2 linked regions of the Nothobranchius furzeri genome follow. The protein of the gene in region 1 binds, or shares a complex with, the protein of each later gene. Links are inferred from orthologs where the notes say so. Each region holds a gene or a part of one and is shown on either strand. Other genes may lie near its edges. The genes, in order: nsun4 and mterf4.

Region 1 (11,030 bases):
TAATTTAACAAAAGGAGAAAGAAACGTTACTGACAGAAAGTGTGAAAATAAAATGTTTAAACTGAGTCTTTAAAGCAGGGGTCCTCCATTATAACGGTCCCAGGGCCACTCAGAAAAGACCCAGAAGCAAGAGGCCCGGTCGGACCGGGGTGGGTGCTGCTGTGTGGGTCGCTGGCTGTAGAACACACAACACACAAGCTTGCAATATAAAGCAGGACAACACCTGTCTAACCTGCCCTGTGGGACCCTCACCATGTGACCCTCATGTCCATGTGATCCTCACCATGTGACCCTCATGTCCATGTGACCCTCACCATGTGACCCTCATGTCCATGTGATCCTCATGTCCATGTGACCCTCACCATGTGACCCTCACCATGTGACCCTCATGTCCATGTGACCCTCATGTCCATGTGACCCTCACCATGTGACCCTCACCATGTGACCCTCATGTCCATGTGACCCTCACCATGTGACCCTCACCATGTGACCCTCATGTCCTGTGACCCTCATGTCCATGTGATCCTCACCATGTGACCCTCACCATGTGATCCTCATGTCCATGTGACCCTCACCATGTGACCCTCATGTCCATGTGACCCTCATGTCCATGTGATCCTCATGTCCATGTGACCCTCACCATGTGACCCTCATGTCCATGTGATCCTCATGTCCATGTGACCCTCACCATGTGACCCTCATGTCCATGTGACCCTCACCATGTGACCCTCACCATGTGACCCTCATGTCCATGTGACCCTCATGTCCATGTGACCCTCATGTCCATGTGACCCTCATGTCCATGTGACCCTCACCATGTGACCCTCACCATGTGACCCTCATGTCCATGTGACCCTCACCATGTGACCCTCATGTCCATGTGACCCTCATGTCCATGTGATCCTCAGTCCATGTGACCCTCATGTCCATGTGACCCTCATGTCCATGTGACCCTCATGTCCATGTGACCCTCACCATGTGACCCTCACCATGTGACCCTCACCATGTGACCCTCATGTCCATGTGATCCTCATGTCCATGTGACCCTCACCATGTGACCCTCACCATGTGACCCTCATGTCCATGTGACCCTCATGTCCATGTGACCCTCATGTCCATGCTGTCTCTGGAGGAGCAGGTAGGAGACAAGACCTCCTGTAACCTAAAATGAACCAACGCTCCCTCCCAGTTTCTCTTTCAGCTGAATTTAACATCAGTTTATCATCATGGAACAAAAGAATAAAGTGGAACAAGAACTTCTGTCTTTATTTCTCTCTCCTTGTAACTTCTCCGTGTCTCTAAATAAGAGACAGGTTACGCTGCAGCCGCCGTCACTGACCCCGCCCCCTCCCCAAGACCGGATCTCCCGACATCACAGCCCTCGGTCTGACTGAGCGCTTCGAGCAGGAAGTTATTTTTTTCTCTACCTCTGCCTCGGTTCCTTATTGGGAGCAGACCCGCCTGGGGCTCTGGTTGTGGGTGTCTAAGCCTTGCATTCGCTCACACACAATCGTTCATGCCCGCATCTCAGTGCATTGATTCTTTTCCTCAGCTCTATCCTAAACCTCCCATCAGCCGTCGGGGGCGCGCGGGGTTGGGGACCACAAAGAGAGGGCTCGCAGGCCGGAGGTGGCCCGCGGGCCGCCTATTGAGTACTGCTGCTTTAAAGGATGTTTCTATCATGATTTTGATAGAAAGTTTGAATTAAAAATATTAGGAAATCCAAGACAAACATTTAATTTTTTTAAATGGACAATAGCACCCAAAGTAAAAGAAATGCAATTTAAGATGTTTATGTTTATTTATTTAGCAGACGCTTTTATCCAAAACGACGTACAGGTTATAACCTATAGGGCATGTTGTGATCTGTGGGGGGAACCGGAGTACCCGGAGGAAACCCACGCATGCATGGGGAGAACACGCAACTCCACGCAGAAAGGCCACAGCCGAGTTTTGAACCTGCAACCTTCGTGCTGCGAGGCAACAGTGCTAACCACTGCACCACCATGCAGCCCAAGATGGTTAACAGCTCGTATCCATCAGCAGAGACACTGAGGAGTAGATCTGGTTTTGAAGTTGACCCTTGCGACCTCTGTCATGGAAGCCCTGAAGGGACGGAAGCCCTGAAGGGACAGAAACCCTATCAGTCAGCTGTCCTGTTAGCGATACGTTTAGGGGGAACTCCATTGTTGTTAGCAAATAAAATCAGAGAACTTGATCATTTTACAAATGAACATATTCTTATTTACAATACTAAATCAAGCGGTATTGTTTCATCTTTAATTAACGTTGCATTTATTCATAATAATAATAATAATAATAAACAACTGCCAGATTTAAACTGGTTTATAAATGAATTCTGTATGTTCTTATAATCTTCTCCGTCCCTACACCTACAGTCCCTACACCTCCAGCAGGTCCCTGAGGTCCAGTGACCAAACCCTACTGGTCGTGCAGCACCAGGCTAAAGGTCAAAGGTGACAGATCATCTGCTGCTGTGGCCCCCAGACTCTGGACCTCTCTCCCCCTGAGCCTGAGATCAGTGGACTCAGTGGTCTCCTTTAAAAAGCAGCTGAAGACTCACCTGTTCAGGTTTTGGTGTGACCTTCTTCATCCTCCTTGTTCTGCTCTCCCCACCTATTCCACCTTCCTCAGGATCCACTGATTTCCCTCTTTCTTGTTCACTCTCTCTCTTTCTTAACATTTTATAACCACAACTGTCTATTTTTGCTCATTTTAAATATATTTTTAATCATTTTCTGAATTATTTTTATATTTAAAATTTTTTATCTTGAGAAGCGCTATAGAAATGATATTTTCTTCTTCGTCTTCTTCTTATCCACATTAAAACTCCAATGCAGCTGCAGAAGCCATTTGTCCTGCTGCTAACAGGTTTTTGATCCTGCAACACTTTTCACTTACAAGTGCCTCTTTTTGTTTTTTAAACTTGTGTTTTTTCTTTTTTTTTTACTGTTAGGATTCATGCCTTGCATGTTGCTATATTTGTTGTTGTTTCCATGAGAAATTGCAATAAAAACAAAAGCTGTTAAATCCGGTCTAACCGGTCATGGAAGAACATGTTCTCCTGAGACCCGTGAGGACCGCTACTCGAGAGCAGCCCCTGAGTTTGGACACAATTGCAGACATAGAATTGTATATAAACATATATACACATAAATATAAACATAGATATTAATATAAACATATCTATGTTTATATTAATATATACACATAAATATAAACACAGATATTAATATAAACATATCTATGTTTATATTCATATATACACATAAATATAAACATAGATATGTTTATATTAATATCTGTGTTTATATTCATGTGTATGTATTAATGTAAACATAGATATGTTACATACATATCTATGTGTCGGGACATGGGGACATGTAACGCTCCAAATTACGCTTCCGGCGACCAACGAGCCGACCGGAAATGGAGGAGACGGAGCTTTTTTTTTATTAGAGAAGATAACATACAAACAAAATGCACCTTACATTATATATTCAAAAGATAATCATTACATGCATATTAAACATTTTCACGTATATGAAAAAAATAAAAAATAAAATCTAAAGATGGGGTCACATAATTAACAGATTATTAATTTACTAACTCAAAATCTTCTACAAAGGAAATAAACAAACCAACCTTTTTCCTTTTGACTAAATTCAAAGATTAACTAATAATTTTAAGTCGTTTTTCCAATAGGCTAGAGTTGGTTTGGTCTGAAAAAAATCGACATTTATGTATAAATTGTTTACACAAAATTAATAACACATTAACACCATAACTAACTTTCTTTTCTGTCAAAAACACTCCAAACATTATCATATTTAAGGTAAATGGGGCAATTTGCATCCCACTAGAACAAAGCCAGGCATGAAAATCTAACCAAAATATTTGTATAAAATTGCACAAAAATGATGGTCTAAGTCCTCTTCTGAGGAGACGGAGCGTGAGCGACTCGGAACCTTGTTTGGAACACAGGATTAGAGCCGGACTGGAAAAGCTGACGGACGGGATCATGGCGCTGCTCTTGAACAGGTTTCCAGTTTTCTTTAGAAAAGTCTGCGAGCTGATCAGGCTGACGCCTCGACGGAACCGAGTGAAAGAGAAATGGGTACGGTACGAAGCCCTACATCAGCGTAAACTAGTACAGCAGCGGAACGGTGCGTTTGACAGACGTGCCGCTGCTCAGGAAGCAAACACCTGATAAATAATGCCTGAAACACGACGTCTAGCTGGCTAGTTTAAAAAGTAAAGCACTGCTTATGTTTTATACTTGAGCTGTCTTTAACATCGCCCATCCTATTTTACATTTACTGTTTTACAAAATGTAGGTTCTTGGTATTTCTGTTTTTGGTCATTTTTCTGAAACTATTCTGATCATGGTGGCTTACTGCCTGAATGTAGTCCACCGGGGGACGCAGTCCCTTTAGTGTTTATTCTTCTGCAGACACTGAAGCAGCTGCGTGCACCACCACGCGGCCGTGGAGGTGTACTACAACCCACCGTAGCAAAAACACACCAAAGGTTTTTCATGCTGGGTGCTGTAGGCTGCCTGCTCGGTGAAACTCACGTGCACCGTGTGTGGAGCCACGTCCTCCTCTTAACCGGAGGATTAGATCTCTTGATTGGGAGTGTGCCCCCCCCCACACACACACACACACATGAGGCATCAAAACCGGCCATGGAGTTGTGGCATGTCATGAGGAGGGTCTCACCGACGCCATCCCACTGTGGTTTGGGGCCTCTCTAACACATAGACACTATCTTGTGCCAGCAGACAGGAACTTTCTAGATTCTCCTCACTGTTCGAGGCTTCAGGTTGTCCCCATGGTGAAATACAGGTCACACCGGTAAAGTAACAGCAACCCTGAAGTCAAATTTCACACTAATGTTAGGTTTCTCTTTGGACAGGCCGCCACCCAGCCTAAGCACCCCCCCACCCGCCTGGCCCTGCAGCACTTTGACTCCTCCTACGGCGCTCAGCTAGGACCACTGTGGCCGTCGGTTCGAGTTGCCCTGCTGTCAGAGAGGAAGTACGGAGCGCTGCTCAATAGTTTCTCCCACGATCTGGTGCTGGAAGACCTCCAGGTTCAGGGATGCAGAGACTTCATCAGCCACCAGGACCGTATGTGAGCCTTTACTGAAGGGGGGTCTGAAGGGTGGCCTGGGGGCCATGTGTGGCCCTCACCTGCAGCTCAAAAGTGGTAGAACATTTTCTCAGCAGCACAGGAAGAGAGATGCTCACGTTTAGTCATGTGTCGCCAAACAAAGACGTAGTTAAATCATGTTAGACAATCCCAAAGGGTTCAGCTGGACTTCTTTGGTTTCCTGAAGACGTTCCTCTTCTCATCCCAGGAGCTTTGTCAGTTCAGGCTGGAATATGGGAAAATCAAGCTTATCAGCTGTAGCTGTCTGCTGTTATTCAGCGAGCAGAAACTACTCTGAGTACCCCTCCACTCCAGAGAAGATAGACGGTGTGAGAGAGGAGTAAAAGAAGCAATCGATGTTGAACATTAAAAAACCTACTTTAAATAGGGGCGTGGCTTAGATCTCACCTTTCCAGTACCTGTAATGCAGCTTTGGATTTCGTTCCTAAGCAGTTTCAGTCTAGGCCACACCTTCCTGTCTCTAACCAACACAACGACTCATCGGGGGTAGAGAGGAGGGGTACTCAGAGTAGTTTCTGCTCGTTAGACAACAACAGACTTATAAGCTTGACTCCTCCATATTCCAGTTAGAACTGACAATGCTCCTCAGATGAGAAGAGAAACGTCTTCAGGAAACCAAGGAAGTCCAGCTGCCTTCATCTGAACCCTTTGGGTTGGACGGGGAAATGACGATGGTTAACTAGGCTGCCTAAATGTTCTAATGCATATCTAGTCAGAACCACTCAGGCTCCTTCCCCACCAGAGAGGAGACCGTCCACGTACCGAGAGCTAGCTTCCGTAGCCGAGGATCAGACCACCAAGGTCCCCGCCTTCCGCTGCCACCCGTCACACATTGCACCTGACCCCTCTGGCCCCTCTCACGAGGGGTGAGGGAAGTGGGACCCATGTTTCCTCTTCAGGCTGTACTCAGCCTGGCCACCAGGCGCTCGTCAGCTTGCCCTGCCTGCAGGCCTGTCTCCAGAGGGGGGCCCAGGGACCCGCGTCTGGGCGAGGGAATGCGGTTTCCTTGTACATTTTTCTTCATGAGGGTCTGTGGGCTGCTCACCTAGGACCTGTTTGCCAGGGGTGACCCTACCAGAGGCATTAAGCCTCAGACCACTTAGCTCCTAGGATCATTGAGACTCAAACCCCCCCTCCACAGTGAGGTGACAGCCCAGGGAGCGATTCTTGTCAGGTTTAAATTGTAATAAAAAAAGAAAAATAGCAAAACAATCATTTTGGGCATTTTGATGGTGGCCTGTAGGTTCTGTCAGAGTTAGGCCTGTGTTTGGTTTTTACACCACTTACTTAAATCATAGCGAGTCGGCTTGGATCCGACTGCTCTGCTGCTGCACTCAGTTAGCCGACAGTTAACTTTATTTTCTCTCTAAGTGTTTTTCTCCCCAGAAGAAGCTACAACGATGTTCTGCTGAGCTGTGGTGGCCTCATGGAGGGGGCCATCGTCTAGCACACTGCTGCTAACCACTTAAACATTCTCCCTCTCCTGATAATAACTTTTTGTTGTCCTTGACGTTGGATGTGCTACTACTAGTTTACCCGTTTAATTATAGAACCACTAGGATAAATACAATAAAGTTTATCTTTCACCACATAGAATATTTACTAAGACTTCACAATATAACTGTAGACACATTACTTTGTCTGTGTGTGTGTGTGTGTGTGTGTGTGTGTGTGTGTGTGTGTGTGTGTGTGTGTGTGTGTGTGTGTGTGTGTGTGTGTGTGTGTGTGTGTGTGTGTGTGTGTGTGTGAGAGTCGTGGAGGATGGCTGCTTATACTGAGCCAGGATCATCTGGAGGTTTCTTCCTGTTAAAAGGGAGTTTTCCTCTCCACTGTCGCTGCATGCTTGCTTAGTATGAGGATTGCTGTAAAGACTCTGACACTAGTCAGTGACTCGATGCAACCTGCTGGTTCCTTATATAGGAAACTTGTTACTGATTGGCTAAAAGCTTCTTTCCGGAGTATTTCTCTTATCCGATGGCACCATCTAGTGGCTGACAAGCGTATCACACAAAGCTGCTGTTCCTCTGTTTTTTAAGATGACGACTTCACGTTTCTGTTTATAAACGTGCTTCTGTAGCGACAAACGGAGCTAAAACATGTTGTTGTACGAGTTTTACTCTCATGTCATGTTGTGTTCTCATATTCATGTTTTAGAGACTTACTTGTCCGTGAAAAGTTCATCAACTCTGCATCAGCCGAGGTCTAAGCAGAAGTCTAACGCTATTGGTTAGTTCTGGTCGGCGCTCAGCTTCCTATTGCACGGAGCTCTGCCGGGCAGGGGGCGTGCTTAGCAAACAAAAAAAAGACGTATTGCATGTATTACATCACAGGACATGATGAGATCATCACTTTTCCGGATTTCTGACAAATCATGCATAATTTCTGAAAGAGGAAACCTCCGGAAAGCAGCTTTAATGACCTGACCTGTGTTGGAGTGTTTACTGTGTGAAGGTCCTTGAGACGACTGGTCCTGATGTGGAGCTACAGAAATAAACTGAATTGAATTGAAAAGTTTAAATTTGGCGATTAGCTGAACCGTTGTCATCTTTTCTGCAGGCCTGGTATTCGGGGCTGAAGAAGGGTCGTGTGAGGTTTCTATGACATCACTGGAGTTTCTTAGTCAGCAGCAGTACCCTCCACAGCTTAGTCCACACCTAAAGTGCTTCGTGTTTCCAAGAGGGGATGTCACACGGTTCAAGCCTGCAAGGTGAGGATGAGTCCTAATCAGGTGTCATCATCCAGTCCAGTCTCATCCGAGTTCCTTCTATCCATCAAAGGCCGGACAGGTATGGCCTGTTGGGGTACTACCTGATGGACGCTGCATCCATACTGCCTTGTCTCGCGCTGGATGTCCAGAAGGGTCACACAGTCCTGGATCTCTGCGCTGCTCCTGGTGGGAAGACCCTTGCTCTGCTCCAGACTCAGCTGATCAGTGAGTGAACTCCTCACCAGATTCTTACGTGGTGATTTTTCTCCTGCTGTTCAATTCAGTTTATTTCTAAAGCACCAAATCAGGACCAGAGTCGTCTCAAGGACCTTCACATGGTAAACATACAGTACAGGTCAGGTCATTAAGCCAGTCAGTAACAAGTTTCCTATATAAGGAACCAGCAGGTTGCATCGAGTCACTGACTAGTGTCAGAGTCTTTACAGCAATCCTCATACTAAGCAAGCATGCAGCGACAGTGGAGAGGAAAACTCCCTTTTAACAGGAAGAAACCTCCAGATGATCCTGGCTCAGTATAAGCAGCCATAAAAATAAAGTTAACAGCTGAAATAGCAGGAACTAGTACAGTTAAAGAGCAGATTGTAGACCAGGGGTGTCAAACTCAAACTCACACGGGGCCGAAATGAAACTCTGGGACGGAGTCGAGGGCCAAACTTAATATTTTTTGAAAAAGTGACGCAAATTAGCACATTTTCTTTATCAACATATATGCAATTTTGAACCTTTAAATTTGGAAACAAACTTATTTCTGCATTAACACTAAATGTGGAATAACCAAATTACACTCGAGCAAGTCAGAAAGGCATCAGTGGTATTCATTACTTGTGGTATAATCAGCATTTTATAAATCTATTCAGGATTTATGTTTTCTTGTTTATTCATTTTTCTTATTTTTTATTCTCCTTTTTTCTCCTGTAATACGTGTCATCGCTGCTGTGACGTCTAGCTTTCCCCACTGAGGAACAATAAAGGGATTTTCTATTCTAGTCATCCATCTGCAGCCTTTCCACTTCCTGTTTACTGTAGGTTAAATCTTTTCTCACGGGCCAACAACTAAATAAAAATATCATTTTATCTTAAATGAAAATGCAACATCTCACCTGTTAACTTTCATGTTTTGGAGCAGAAAAAGAGCATCAAACCAACATATTTAAAGCTCAGTTTGCTCCACTGGTTTACTGTGATGCTCACCTGTTCCAGCCAGATACCTGCATCATGGGGTTGATCTGAGCTGAGGAGGAGACTCCTGTTGTTTTGTTCATCTTCATCATAATAATGACAACATTAGATGACAACAGGTGCTCACATAGGTTTGTGCTGATGAACATGTCTGAGCAGCTTGACCACGTCGGTGTGTGTCGGGGAGGAAACACAACCACAGAGCCGTGCTGGTTTGAGCGTGTCGCTGCTCGCTGGAGTTATATCAGCTCTGTCTGGACGTTAGCTGGAAAACTTTCTCTTTCAGTCGTGAACACATTACTGAGCAGCTAGAATCTCCGTTTCTGGGCTTCAACGTCAGAAAACAGCTGAGTGAACTCGGCGCTGAGTGAGAGGAGTGTAGTTTGTCCGAGACAGCGGAGCTGCAGAGACCGGCAGCAGGCGCTGAAAAACACAAAGGAGGGGGCGCATCGGCTCCGCGCTGACGCCGCAAAGCATCATGGGAGTTGAAGTCTTTGCGGTATCATTGGCCAGCGGGCCAGTTTTAATATATTTTTGATAATTATCTCGCGGGCCACATAAAAATGCTCCGCGGGCCGCATCTGGCCCGTGGGCCTTGAGTCTGACATATGTGTTGTAGAAGAAAGCAGTAGAGTGTGAAAAATGGTCAGTGTATCCTCCAGCAGTCTAAGCCTATAGCAGCATAACTACAGAGATAACTCTGGATAATCTATCCTATTTAGATGGAGGCATGTTGGAGGCAGGGCAAGGGAGAGCCGTCTTTACCGACTGTACACTCCACCTCCCTCTACTCCCCCACTTGTCCAGATCTAGGCTAACATCAGATTTTAACTATAGGCCCTATCAAATAAAAATGTTTTAAGCCTATTCTTAAAAGTAGACAAGGTGTCTGCCTCACGGACTAAAGCTGGGAGCTGGTTCCACAGGAGAGGAGCCTGATAACTAAAAGATCTGCCTCCCATCCTAATTTTAGATATTCTGGGAACCACCAGTAGACCTGCAGTCTGAGAGTGAAGTGCTCGGTTAGGAACATATGGAACAATCAGATCACTGATGTATCAGTGCGTTTACATGCAGCCAGTAACCCTTTTAAAACCCGAATATTCACAATAACCCGGTTCTGTAGGTCCATGTAAACACCGCCAAAAACCCGGATATGCTCATAACCGGGTTTTTAAAAACCCGGTTGCTACACCTGGGGTAACCCTTTTCTAACCCGAATGTTTGGTCGTGAAAACGCATACCGGGATATCCCCATCAAAGCGTGTGTTCTGCGCATGCTCTGTTCGCAAGGAATCTTGGTCTTTTGAGTAGCGAGACGTCTTGTATGCGCCAGAACACCGGAAGTAAACAACAGGTTGGGAGCAACATGGCGAGTCGCGGCACAGCACCACACTTTGAGTGACGAGGAAACTAAAGCGCAAACAAACGCGGTCGCTATCTCTTCCGAACTGGGAAACATGTTGTTGTTTTCACGGATACCGGAACAAGAAGAACCGGAAATGACGCATATTGCATCTGGACATAGTCCACACGTCCTGACGCTACCCCAACGTCCGCATTTACATCGGGTTATGCAAGTTAGAGGTAACTCTTTCTATTTATGCTTGTAAACGGGTTATTCTGATCAACTCAGAAACCCGAATCCCGACCTTAACCCGATCATAACCCGGATATTGGCTGCATGTAAACGTACTCTATGGTGGAGCTTGATTATTAAGAGCTTTATATGTGAGATGAAGGATCTTCAAATCTATTCTGAATTTAACAGGTAGCCAATGTAGGGAAGCTAAGACAGGAGAGATATGATATCTCTTTTTAATTCTCATCAGAACTCTAGCTGCAGCATTTTGGACAAGCTGAAGACTTTTAACTACATTCTGTGGACTTCCTGAGAGTAATGGATTACAGTAATCCAGTCTTGATGT
Region 2 (10,867 bases), about 17 Mb from region 1:
CTAATGCACTCCATGAGAATGATGGACTACCTAACAACTTGAATACCAGAAACCCTTGAACAGCATTTACTGCAGCTAATCCAGCAAGTTGAACTTGTTTTTTGCCTCTACAGACACCAAGGTGGACAGCGTTGTCCGCTCTCCCAGTCCAGCCCTGGAATACTCTGGAACAGTTTGGGTGTTTGCTCCCATGAGTGGCCTTCTCCTCCTCTGTCCTGATGGCTCAATTGTTTGCATCCACGACCATCTGGCTCTCAGTCTGTTTGGATACAGCAAGGACGAGTTAGTGGGAAAGGTTAGCCAAGTCGCTCAGCCGAACAAGGCTGCTCGCTCTAAGCACTATGCCAGCTCTCAGTTCTGTTGCTTTTCACACACAGAGTGTCACTTTCCTTATGCCTGGCTTCTATGGGTGGATGTCTGACTCTGACAAAAAGGCCAGCCTACTTACTGGTTCTCATGCAGAGGCGGACAAATGTGCCGCCTCGTCTAAAATATCCACAACATCTGGTGAGCGTTTTTATCTTGTTGTGTTAAAACTACAAATACATTTGTGTTTATAATAAGTCTCATAACCTGCTGACCTTATAAGTTTCTACATTACAACAATGTTTCAACTACGATATAAAGGATGTATTCAAATGCATTCTACCAAGCAGCCTACTATACCTCATTACAAGTATTTATTCTTAGACTTTTATTCTTCTTTTCACTCGAAGTTGCATTATTTATTGACACTGTATGAATTTTAGTCATTTTTCTCTTTGTGTTGGCCTTAGACCCCTCCTCTCTGGTGGCTGGAGACATGGCTATGGTGCAGAAGGCTATCTCAGAACGGAGCTCAGTGGGAAGAGGCAGAATCTTTACTGGAACCAGCACCAGACTGGAGAAACAGGGCAGTAATCTGTCTACCTTCTCTCTTCCTGCAGTCACCTCGACACATTTGGTTATGTAAGTTAGCATGCACCATTCGCATTCATTGCTGCTGGGTTTTTTTTGTCCTGCAGACTAACATTTATTGAATATGACTGTATGTTAATAAGACTTAAAGGTTATATATGTTTGCAGAGAGAATAAATTGTAGACGTCTACATGGTCTGATCTATTGTAAATGCTGAACAGGCAAATCCTGCAGAAACAAGCCAGCAGCTAAAAGCATTGGACTGCATGTATATTTAATGCATTTTGCAGTGAATCTGTACACTGAGCAGCAGCTTCATTGTCAAACCTGATGGTTGCTCTGCCTCATTCTCTCATTACTAGTTTATTGTTTGTTTTTTTAGGCTTTTGTTGTTAATTCAAACCAGAACATTGGTATTGTAACTTTTTTTTATAAGTAATGTAACACTATTATCCATTTGATGTGGGGTTATATTTCTATGAGTGATGCTTAGTAAAGATGATCTAATAGTTCTTTATTTTGGTATTAACTTTATTTTAAACATGTTCCTCCTCTATAGCTGGGTCAAAGCTTTGATGGTTGATGCTGCCTGACTACCTAACAGCTGGACTGAACCGTTTACCTTTTCCTTTAGGGCCAACGACACCACCGAGCTGATTGAGGAAGCGGTCCGTGCAGCTCCCTGCTGTAGCCAGCTGGATTGTGCAGATAATACTCAGGCACTTCTCAAGACATTTGCTTGGGTGGAGCCTCCAGATGAAGACACCTGCTGTTTGGTTCCCACTGAACCATCTCATCATAACGGAGAAGAGCATCTGGGCAATGTGGCTCCGGAAAATAATGCACCTGCTATTAGAATTATTCCTGGTGCGACTTTTGGCTTAATTGTCTTTTCTTTTAAATTAGTTTGCAGCTGTTTCAACTCAAAACATTCACCAAGGTGTATTAAACAAGTAAGAAAACATTTGATACGATTAAATAAAGTTTTTTTTTCTGCATTTCTGTTTGTTTTGTAGACACTCCTCGTAAGGGCAATGCTGTTAATGTAGAAAAAGAGCATCACTCCTACACTTCTGTCCTCCAAGACTCAAGCTTTGAGATCATCACACTGGATAGCAGGTGAGGGGTTAATGGAAACTTCAAACATTACTCTGCATAATTCATATAGTTCACTGGTGACTAAGTTTATTCAATTATATTCTGTCAGATCGGCTTCTTCCGGCTTCTGTGAACATCTCGCTGGTCAGGCTGGTCCTCATCCTGCCCAAGCAGACGAGTTCAATTCAAAACATTTTGTGAACTCAGCTAGTTGCTTCCTGGACATCAACAGTGATGGAGATGTGATCACCCGTGCTCTGGATGAGCTCAATCTCAGTGGTAGTATGGAGCTGCTCAGCACCGGAGGTTCCAATGGGAACAACCAGCACTCCGCGTTGTCTTGTGATACAGCTGAGCTCCTACGAACACCTTCTCCATGTGTGGTGCTGTCTGACGATGATGAAGCGTCTGTTCCCCCCGCCGCAGAGACGAGGAAAGGTCCAGCTCAGGAGCAGGATCAGTGGGCAGCTTTGTCTGTTATTCATAATGCAAAGAGCCAAGAGAGCTCAGGGCAGGTGAACAGTGCGGTTGGGCCTCTGACGGACATGCCTGCCACGTCAACGCCTAAGAAGCAGAAAGCAAATGAACACATTCTATCTTCACATACACGCATACTGGAGGGAAGAGTTGAAGGATGTGGATACCACAGAGATGGCACAAGAGTAGGTTAGTAATAAAGTTCCTACTTTTGATCTGTTTTACTCATTAAAACCTCAAACACAACTGCAGGGCTAAAAGTTTCTTATTTTTCCCTCTCTACATCTAGAGGTGCAGTGTGATGTGTGCCGGTCCAACCTCCCAGATGGAAGTTTCATGTTCTGCGTGTGGATTAAAAGGTCTAGCCAGCAGGGGGCGTTGTTGCAAACAGATCTATCGCTTCAAAACCAATCAGGAAACAGTTCAGGAAAGGTCAGTGGCACTTGTGACCACAGCACATTAGAACTCATCGTGTTCCTCGTTCTAATCTTTGTTTCTTTCATCAGAGGATTGATGAGGCTGGTGTAGGAGAAGTGCTGCGCTCCACGGTGGACCTCGAGCACTCTCGAGCCTGCGACGGACAGTTTGAAGAAGAATACCAGCCAATCAGAGCTGTGGGTAAAGGAGCTTTTGGGTTTGTCTGGAAGGCAATAAGACGCTGTAACGGACAAGAAGTGAGAGCTCAAGCTTTATCTTTGTAGCTTTTTTCTTTTTGGCTTCTTTAAGACGATGAGATTGTAAAGATGTGGACATTTTGCAGGTGATAGTGAAGTTCATTAGCAAGGCCAGGATAGTGAGTGACTGCTGGGTGGACGACCCCATGTTGGGCAGAGTGAGCCAGGAGATCGCCATACTGACTCGAGTGCAGCATCATAACATCGTCAAGGTAACTGCATTGTTGCTTTGAGGAAAATATGACATTGAATTCTCTGTTTTTACAAATATTCGTCCTTCTCCAGGTGTTGGAGGTGTTTGAAAATGGAAGTTATTTCCAGATGGTGATGGAGAAGCATGGAGATGGTTTGGACCTTTTTGAATTCATCGACATGCAGCCAAGGCTTGACGAGCCCCTGACCAGCTACATCTTTAGACAGGTGTGTGAAAGTCCCAGCAGTACTAATGACGGGTAAAGGGCGCTCTTAGAGCAAATGTGATATTCTTGTCTCCCCTCCAGATTGTTGCAGCTGTTTTCTATCTGAGGTGCAAGAACATCATCCACAGGGACATAAAGGATGAAAACATCATAATTGACAAATGTTTTCACATTCGACTGATAGATTTTGGCTCTGCTGCCATACTGGTTCCTGGGAAGCTCTTTTATAATTTCTGTGGCACGATGGAGTACTGTTCCCCAGAGGTGCTCCAGGGCAATCCGTGAGTATTTAATAATAAGCTACTTTTTATTTTGTTTTATAGACTTTATGGGTTAAAGAGCAAGACTTTCCTTTTTACTGTTCAACTTGTGTTTTTTAAAAGCTAGCTGGGTTCATCTGGATCTGCGTTATCTGAGGACATTAAAATTGAACAACCGCTCCAATTTGTCTTTGTCAATCAGCTCCCATGTGGTCTACAACAATGTGTGGGTGTACACAGCTGCAAGGTTGTGTCCCACTACACATAAAGTAAAAAGCCATCTTCAGTTTCATGAAATATGAACTAAAGTAAAACCACCGGGATGGCTGCAGTAATTTCCTACCCAGTTAAAACACTCTGTAGATACTCATTAGCATGTGTTTTACCCATGCTTAATGTAAATGTTGAAATCACAAATGTGCGAAAGGTCACAGAAGATGCTGCAGTCTCGCTTTCCTCTCTGGCTACCTCCTGCATATTCTAATGGACTTGAGTCATTAAAGATTGGTAACTGCTGTTAAAATGTCACCATGATTCCTATAATGCATGTTATCACCTTATCTGATCATGTTTTGGGCTCTTTTCTAGCTACAAGGGTCCAGAGCTTGAGATGTGGTCTCTGGGGGTTTTACTATACACTCTGCTGTTCAGTGAGAACCCTTTCTGTGATGTGGGGGAAATACTGGATGCCAAACTAAAGCCCCCATTCCCCTTGTCCTCTGGTATATATTTTAATTCATTATTTTGCTAGCTTATCCTTTTGCATTCCAGTCATGTACCTTCTGTTTACTCTCAGAACTGCATGCGCTGCTGCGTGGCCTGCTGCACCCCGATCACACAAAGAGGATGACCTTAGACCAGCTCCTGTTGCAGGCCTGGATAAGCCAGCCCATCTCCCTTTCAGAGTACAGCTGGTCAGAGGTGGTTTCTGCAAACCAGAGCCTCTGTGAGTCCTCATCAGCACCACGGTCAGACACTTTTAACAACAACTTTTTTTTTTCAACTATTAAGGGGATTCTTTTCTTCCAGCAGGCACATCACACCATCAAGAAACCAGTCCTAATGCGTACATCAGACCAGACTTGTTCCCAGATTATGGAGATGAGTCTCTACCTGAGGAGGAAGAGGAGGATGAGGACGAGAGGATGGCTCTGCAAAATGAGCTTCAGAAATACCTCCAGAGGAATGAAGACTAAATTTAAAGAGAAGGAAATCTAATTGGCTATTATAATTTTTGATCAACTGTGGGAGGAAAGTGAAAGTCAAAAGAAAAGCTTGCTTTTAATTCAAGATATTAATTAAATCTTCTATGTAGACCAAGGTTTTAGAACCAAAGTGGCATTGTGACTCGTCACAGTGTGGCCTGCCAGTCATAATCAGACACTTTTGAATTGTCTGCAGCTGTTTTTCTTTTATAGTGTTTTTAGGTTTTTTATTTTTTATGAACAGTAGCATTTTCTTTTTGGTAATTTTTGTTCAAATTTATCTTGAAATCTTTTCTATTTTACCTGCATGTAAGTATATTTACAATATTTTTATATTTATTTTTTACATCAATAAATATCTTCACTATGCTGCTACAAATGTGTTGGGCCTTTTGAACATTAATGAATGAATTGCCTTGCTAATAAAGATAGAAGGACTTGTACTTCTTGTGAGTTTGTAGCACCGTTTTCATTTTTTTACAGAGAAACCGAATCAAGTGACCTTAACCCTTTAGAGTTAAACGCCAATATGAAGTTAATAGCATTTGCTTTGCCTGCTAACAATTGGTGAGTAAATAGGGCAAATGGGGCTTTATATTAAAGTGTGTTGAGTTTATTTTTTTAATTATGCCTATATTGACTAAAACAATTGTTTCAGAGCTTGTAAAAGTTCTGGGAAAATGAATACAGAAATTTCATTTGTAAATAAGTAATTCTCATGTTTAATATGTTCCCTTTTGCATTTTGGGGAGTGCGCGCTACGTTAACCACCAATAGCGGAACCGTTTATGTGTCATTTTCTAACGGAAGATGATGTGCAACGGACGAAAAGGGCAACTCGTGTATCCTGACGGAAGACAATACGTAACGGACAAGAAATGGGAACCCGTGTAGCACATCAGGTGAGTAAAAAAAAACCTAAAATTTATGGAATACAACGTGTTTTTAAGTCGACGGAATTCACGTTTTGCTATAATTAGTCCAAAAGTCGCATATTGTAATTTACAATTTTGACTTGTGCAACTTTATTGTTTTTTAAGTGATGTCATTGTTATCCTTTTGAGATCAAACGTGTTTATAATGATTTATTTCCATAGGTTCTTCGGTGGACTGTAAAAAATGTCTATTACTCTGGGTTCAGTCCTCTCTTTAAGAGATACCGCCTCCCGTTGTCATGCATCCAGTGCAGGTATTTGTGTTCCCCTCCGCACAAGACGGCTGCGTCACCACAACACAACTGTTCTCCTGAATCCGATAAACCAATAACCGAGCTCTCCCTCAGCTCTTTGCTTGAAATGGGATTCACAGATTCCCAGGCGAGGCACATATGTGACTCTGTGTTTGAAATTAAAAAAGAAAGTTCTGTCAAAAGAGTTTTATCGACACTCACAGTTCTCTTCGTCCTGGGCCTCAACCCCACAAGTGTGCAGAAAATGCTGGACATATGTCCAGACCTTTACATCGTTAAAGAAACGCTGCTGCAGCAGCGCATAGATCACCTGAGGAAGCTGGGTTTGGTCGAAGGTGAGGTCATCATTTTAACATAATGGAAAAACTGGCTCACGATTCTGTAAACACGTCTCTGTCCTCTCATTTGTCTGACAGGAAGTCTTCAGAGGATGGTGGTCCATTACCCCAAAATCCTGACTGTACCTGTGAAGTCAGTAAAAAACGTTGTGCAGTTTCTCCGAGAGAAGTGCCTGTTTACCACCCAGCAGGTGACGGATATCCTCAGGGACACACCAGCAGTAGTCCTGGAGGACCTGCTTCAGCTGGAGTACAAGTTTCAGGTCAGGAAGTTGAGCAGAGTTGAACAAAAATATTTTTGTGAAACTGATGGGCCTTCATAATTGGGACCGCAGTAGCTCAGGAGGTAGAGCAGGTTGTCCAGTATTCGGAAGGTTGCAGGTTCAATCCCGGCTCCCACAAGAGACTGCTGCTGTTGTGTTTTTGGGCAAGACACATAACCCACCTTGGCTGCAGGTGGTGGTCGGAGCACCGGTATATGGCAGGGCTCGCCTCTGTCCATGCCCCAGGGCAGCTGTGGCTACATTGTAGCTCATCATCACCACTGTGTGAATGTGTGTGTGTGATTGGATGGATGACTGATTGTGTTGTGAAGCGCTTTGGGGGGTTGTAGAACTCAGGCGCTATAGAAGTATGGGCCATTTACTGCAAAACAACTGAAATACGTATGTGAAGTTAAAAATACAGTGCTCAGCATAAGTGAGTACACCCCACCACATTTGTCAGAAAACCTTTAGTTTCCTTTCAGAATCCACATTTTCTATGAGATACCACACTAAAAAAACTCCCACAAACGTGGGCCATTGATTGCAAACAAGATTTGTTCATTTTCCCACACGAAAAAATGATTTTCCTAACAAATCCATTCAAACCTATGTTGCAAAAATAAGTACACCCCAATTATAGTCTCAGGAGAAAAGTCACTCTACAAAATTCAAATTAACAGACATTCAACCACTAGTGAGTCTAATCAGGTGTCCAGCAGACAGGTGACTGTAGGCCTGGGACGATAATAAATTTTGCTGGACGATATATTGTCCAACAAATTATTGACGATCAACAATATTATTGTCGACATTATCGAGACCAAAATAACCACTAATGTAATGTTGATATATTCCGATCACGTTTTTTTTGCTCCCGATCCGATACTTTTCAGAAAGGCATTAAAATAAGAAGAAAAAAATGGGGGGGGGGGGTCAGGAAAGCACTAAAATCAGAAGAAAACACATTCAAATTGTCCACTTTAATTTTTGTAGGAAGTACACCGATTAAAAAACTTATTTCTACTGTGAATATACTTCAAAGTAGCAGTGTTGCTCTAATAGACCCTTTTACTACCTACGTCATCAAAAGTTGCGCACGCACCCTGGCAACGAGAGCGACGGCTTCCTCATTCACGCTCGATACTAAAACAGCGTTTTAAACCCTTTGTTTTGAAGTTCTGAGCACATAAAAATGTCGGGTTGTTGCGTGTATGGATGCCAGAATCGCTTCTCTTCAAGCAGTGGACTGAACCTTTACAGAATTCCGAAGGGAGCACATCCATTTCAACAAAATCGGAGGCGCCTGTGGCTGCAGGCCATCAAAAGGGTAACTGCAGCCTTTTCCGTTTTCCCCATCCTAACACAAAGCTCAACTCTGAATAAAATTGCTGCTGCGTGGCTGCAGCATGACCCAAGTCTGGAACATCAAAATGACAGAATTAAACAAATTTATACGCTTTATTTCATGCTTCAAATTAACATTTCATTCTAATTCATCTGTATTTTCCCACTGCATATTAGTATAAACTGTATTTCTCTAAAATTAACACGATTGTACTCTGAGCACGCTAAAAAAAGAAACCTATGCTATACTCACCCTGCCATGCAGGTACAGTTGGCTGTGAAGACGTAGTTCTCTGGTTTGTTTACTCTGACCCAAGCCTCGTACGTAGCTGTCTCGTGTCCTTGTCTTTGGCTAGGAAGGACTTCTGCCTTCAAGACGCAAAACTCAGAGTCTATGTCGTGATATTTTACTTTCTGTACGTGGCCACAGACAACATAGTTGTATGCATCTAACGATTTGTATGCCCGTAGCTTCTCACGTGTGTACTTACTGGGCCTCTCCACTAAAAACGTATATATATCGGGCCACTGGATATCTGCCCACGCACCTACATCTTCCACCCATTCCGTAATGCCACAGGGATCTGGGAGTATGTTGCCATTCGTTAAAGTGAGTTTAATAATATAACATTCAAGATTTGCCGGTGATAACCCCGCAGCGTAGCTTGATAAAGCCTGACACAACGCCATTCTCTGTTGCCGAGCTGCGCGCGCATTCTCGCTGACGTCATATTGTTTACAAACAGTAAAAGGGTCTATTTCAAGTTGTTTACTCCCTCAATATGCAGCTGAAGGTCAGCCTTTGGCAGGCAGGTAACTTTTCTCTGCATAACACCTGTAGCGTCAGTGCACAGCTCCCGTGCCAAGGGCTTGTCCAGGGAGTGGCCTGGGGTAGCACATGCTACCTTTGGAATCTGATTGGCCACCCCACCCTTTTAAATTTACTTTCCATTGTCCATAAAAGGCTTGGGGTTACAAACCCCAAGACAGTAGGTGGCAACATGTGCCTTTAAAACTTAACTCCAGGCCTACAGAACATTTCTGTAATATTGTTATTATTATTTTCTTTGTTTTCTATATTGACAGAATTTGACAATTAGGTTCTCGCTCCCAGTCCCACTCCTTTCCAGTTGGTGCCAGTATTGCACTAAGAGGTGGTTACTTCATATTGAACTGTGACTGTTAGAGGTAAACTGGGGATTAATGGAGACCGGTGATTAGATTTGTTGATGCCCGAAGGGAAAAGCCGACAGCAAAAGTAGCTTGTTTGAAGGCAGCGAATCATGGAGCTGTTTCCAGTATGTTGAACGCCCAATATGCACACACTACAAGTGTCTGTAGCTCTGCCTTTGCTGTCCGGTTTAAAATACCACCAAGCTGTAGATATTTCTGCTCTCCTGAGGAGACACGTTAGCTCTGTGTTAGCAGGCTTCAGTGTTGCCAACTCCCCCTGATAGAAAGTAGCTGAAGTTGACCCAGAAAGTCACCCAGATGTCGCCAGATGATGTCAAATGCTAATTTGCATATTTATGTCATCATCACGCCACATTGCTTTCATTTTCCCCGTAGCATCTAAAAGATATATATATATATATGTACTGTATATATATATATATATACTGAAGATTTTAAAAACATGTTGGTCTTTTTAGGACTAAAAGGGAAGAAAATAAAAAACTATTTCATGTGTTAATGTTATTAATTAGCATGATTAAAATGGCCCAAATTGCTTTGATATGTAAAATAAATTCCAAAACTACCAATAAAGTGGCATTAAGACAGATATGGTGTGGTGATCCAAACAGTTCTGTTGTAGGATATAACTCAGACCTGCTCTCCTCATTCTCACAGACATTTTCCTAAAAAGCTGGGGGTTTTTTTTTTGCACCTCACAACTCAACTTCTCTGTTGTGTTTTCTCTCCATCGTGATAATAACGGCGCACCGAGCAAAAGGGAGCGGGTGTCTCGTGGTATAACCATCCCTGTGTCACTGAAGGAAATTCAGATGAGCCACAGCGCTGCGTGTGTAAACGGGACGGTAGTTGAGACTCCCGTTGACTTTATTTGCCAAATGCAGGAAAAACCAAAGTGTCTGACGGCTGCAGAACCAGAGATCACAGGTTGACGCCTGTGCTGTCTCTAGTAGAAGCGTGAGCCTGCAGCAGCAGCAGACGTAAGTCGGCGGTCTCCAGCTCTGCAGCTGTACCTTTGTCTTCGCCCAGCCGAAAATGGTTTATGATTGGTCAGTTCTCATGCACGTGTGCAGATTATCGTTCTCTTTCCTTACTCCTGGAAGACCGGTTCAGAGTGCAAATGGTTTCTTTGTTGCTAATCTGTAGGGAATATCTACAAGAAAGTTCTACAGAAAGTAGCAGTGTCCTGAGAAATGTCGCTAGGTTTGTCGCTAGGCGCTTTTTGGAAAAAAAGTCGTTGAGGGGGGTCAAAAAGTCATTAGGAAGAGCGACAAAGTTGCTGAGTCCTTGCCTGCCGTAAATTGTGTGACGTTACTGAGTTGTTTTCATACAAGAAACAAATATTATTGATGTAGAGGAACTAACTGAAATTAAAACTAAATCATTTTTATTTAATTTGAAAATCTCTATCTCAGGATTAATTTAAAAAGTCACGTTTGTTGTTTTAAAAGGTTAAATCCATTTTATTTCTCCCGATTCCGATCCTTTATAAAAACACGTGATCG

What was found.
Region 2: the proteins of nsun4 (region 1) and mterf4 are in contact, whole or in part, in a crystal structure (PDB 4FP9), measured with the Homo sapiens proteins. The link is inferred for Nothobranchius furzeri from reciprocal best matches to the Homo sapiens genes NSUN4 and MTERF4. Residues at the interface, in NP_950245.2 of Homo sapiens: Pro61, Ser62, Arg64, Val65, Leu68, Ser69, Glu70, Arg136, Gly137, Asp138, Ile139, Arg141, Asn367, Leu368, Met369; in NP_872307.2 of Homo sapiens: Tyr267, Glu269, Arg270, Leu271, Gly272, Arg273, Glu311, Glu312, Val315, Phe316, Lys318, Leu319, Arg322, Glu323, Glu326.

The regions. Positions count from the first base shown.
Region 1 is NC_091751.1:73,207,188-73,218,217, forward strand, and holds the start of nsun4 (5-methylcytosine rRNA methyltransferase NSUN4), read left to right. Parts: upstream 1-3,991; 5' UTR 3,992-4,042; coding exon 4,043-4,138; intron 4,139-4,938; coding exon 4,939-5,152; intron 5,153-7,751; coding exon 7,752-7,902; intron 7,903-7,972; coding exon 7,973-8,127; intron 8,128-11,030. UniProt on the Homo sapiens protein: Mitochondrial RNA cytosine C(5)-methyltransferase that methylates cytosine to 5-methylcytosine (m5C) in various RNAs, such as rRNAs, mRNAs and some long non-coding RNAs (lncRNAs).
Region 2 is NC_091751.1:55,897,790-55,908,656, forward strand, and holds the start of mterf4 (transcription termination factor 4, mitochondrial), read left to right. Parts: upstream 1-5,809; 5' UTR 5,810-5,909; coding exon 5,910-5,933; intron 5,934-6,128; coding exon 6,129-6,555; intron 6,556-6,636; coding exon 6,637-6,821; intron 6,822-10,867. Other genes in the region: pask (PAS domain-containing serine/threonine-protein kinase), read left to right, coding at 114-295, 378-507, 777-948, 1,533-1,765, 1,915-2,017, 2,106-2,662, 2,763-2,905, 2,980-3,147 and 6 more. UniProt on the Homo sapiens protein: Regulator of mitochondrial ribosome biogenesis and translation. Binds to mitochondrial ribosomal RNAs 16S, 12S and 7S and targets NSUN4 RNA methyltransferase to the mitochondrial large ribosomal subunit (39S).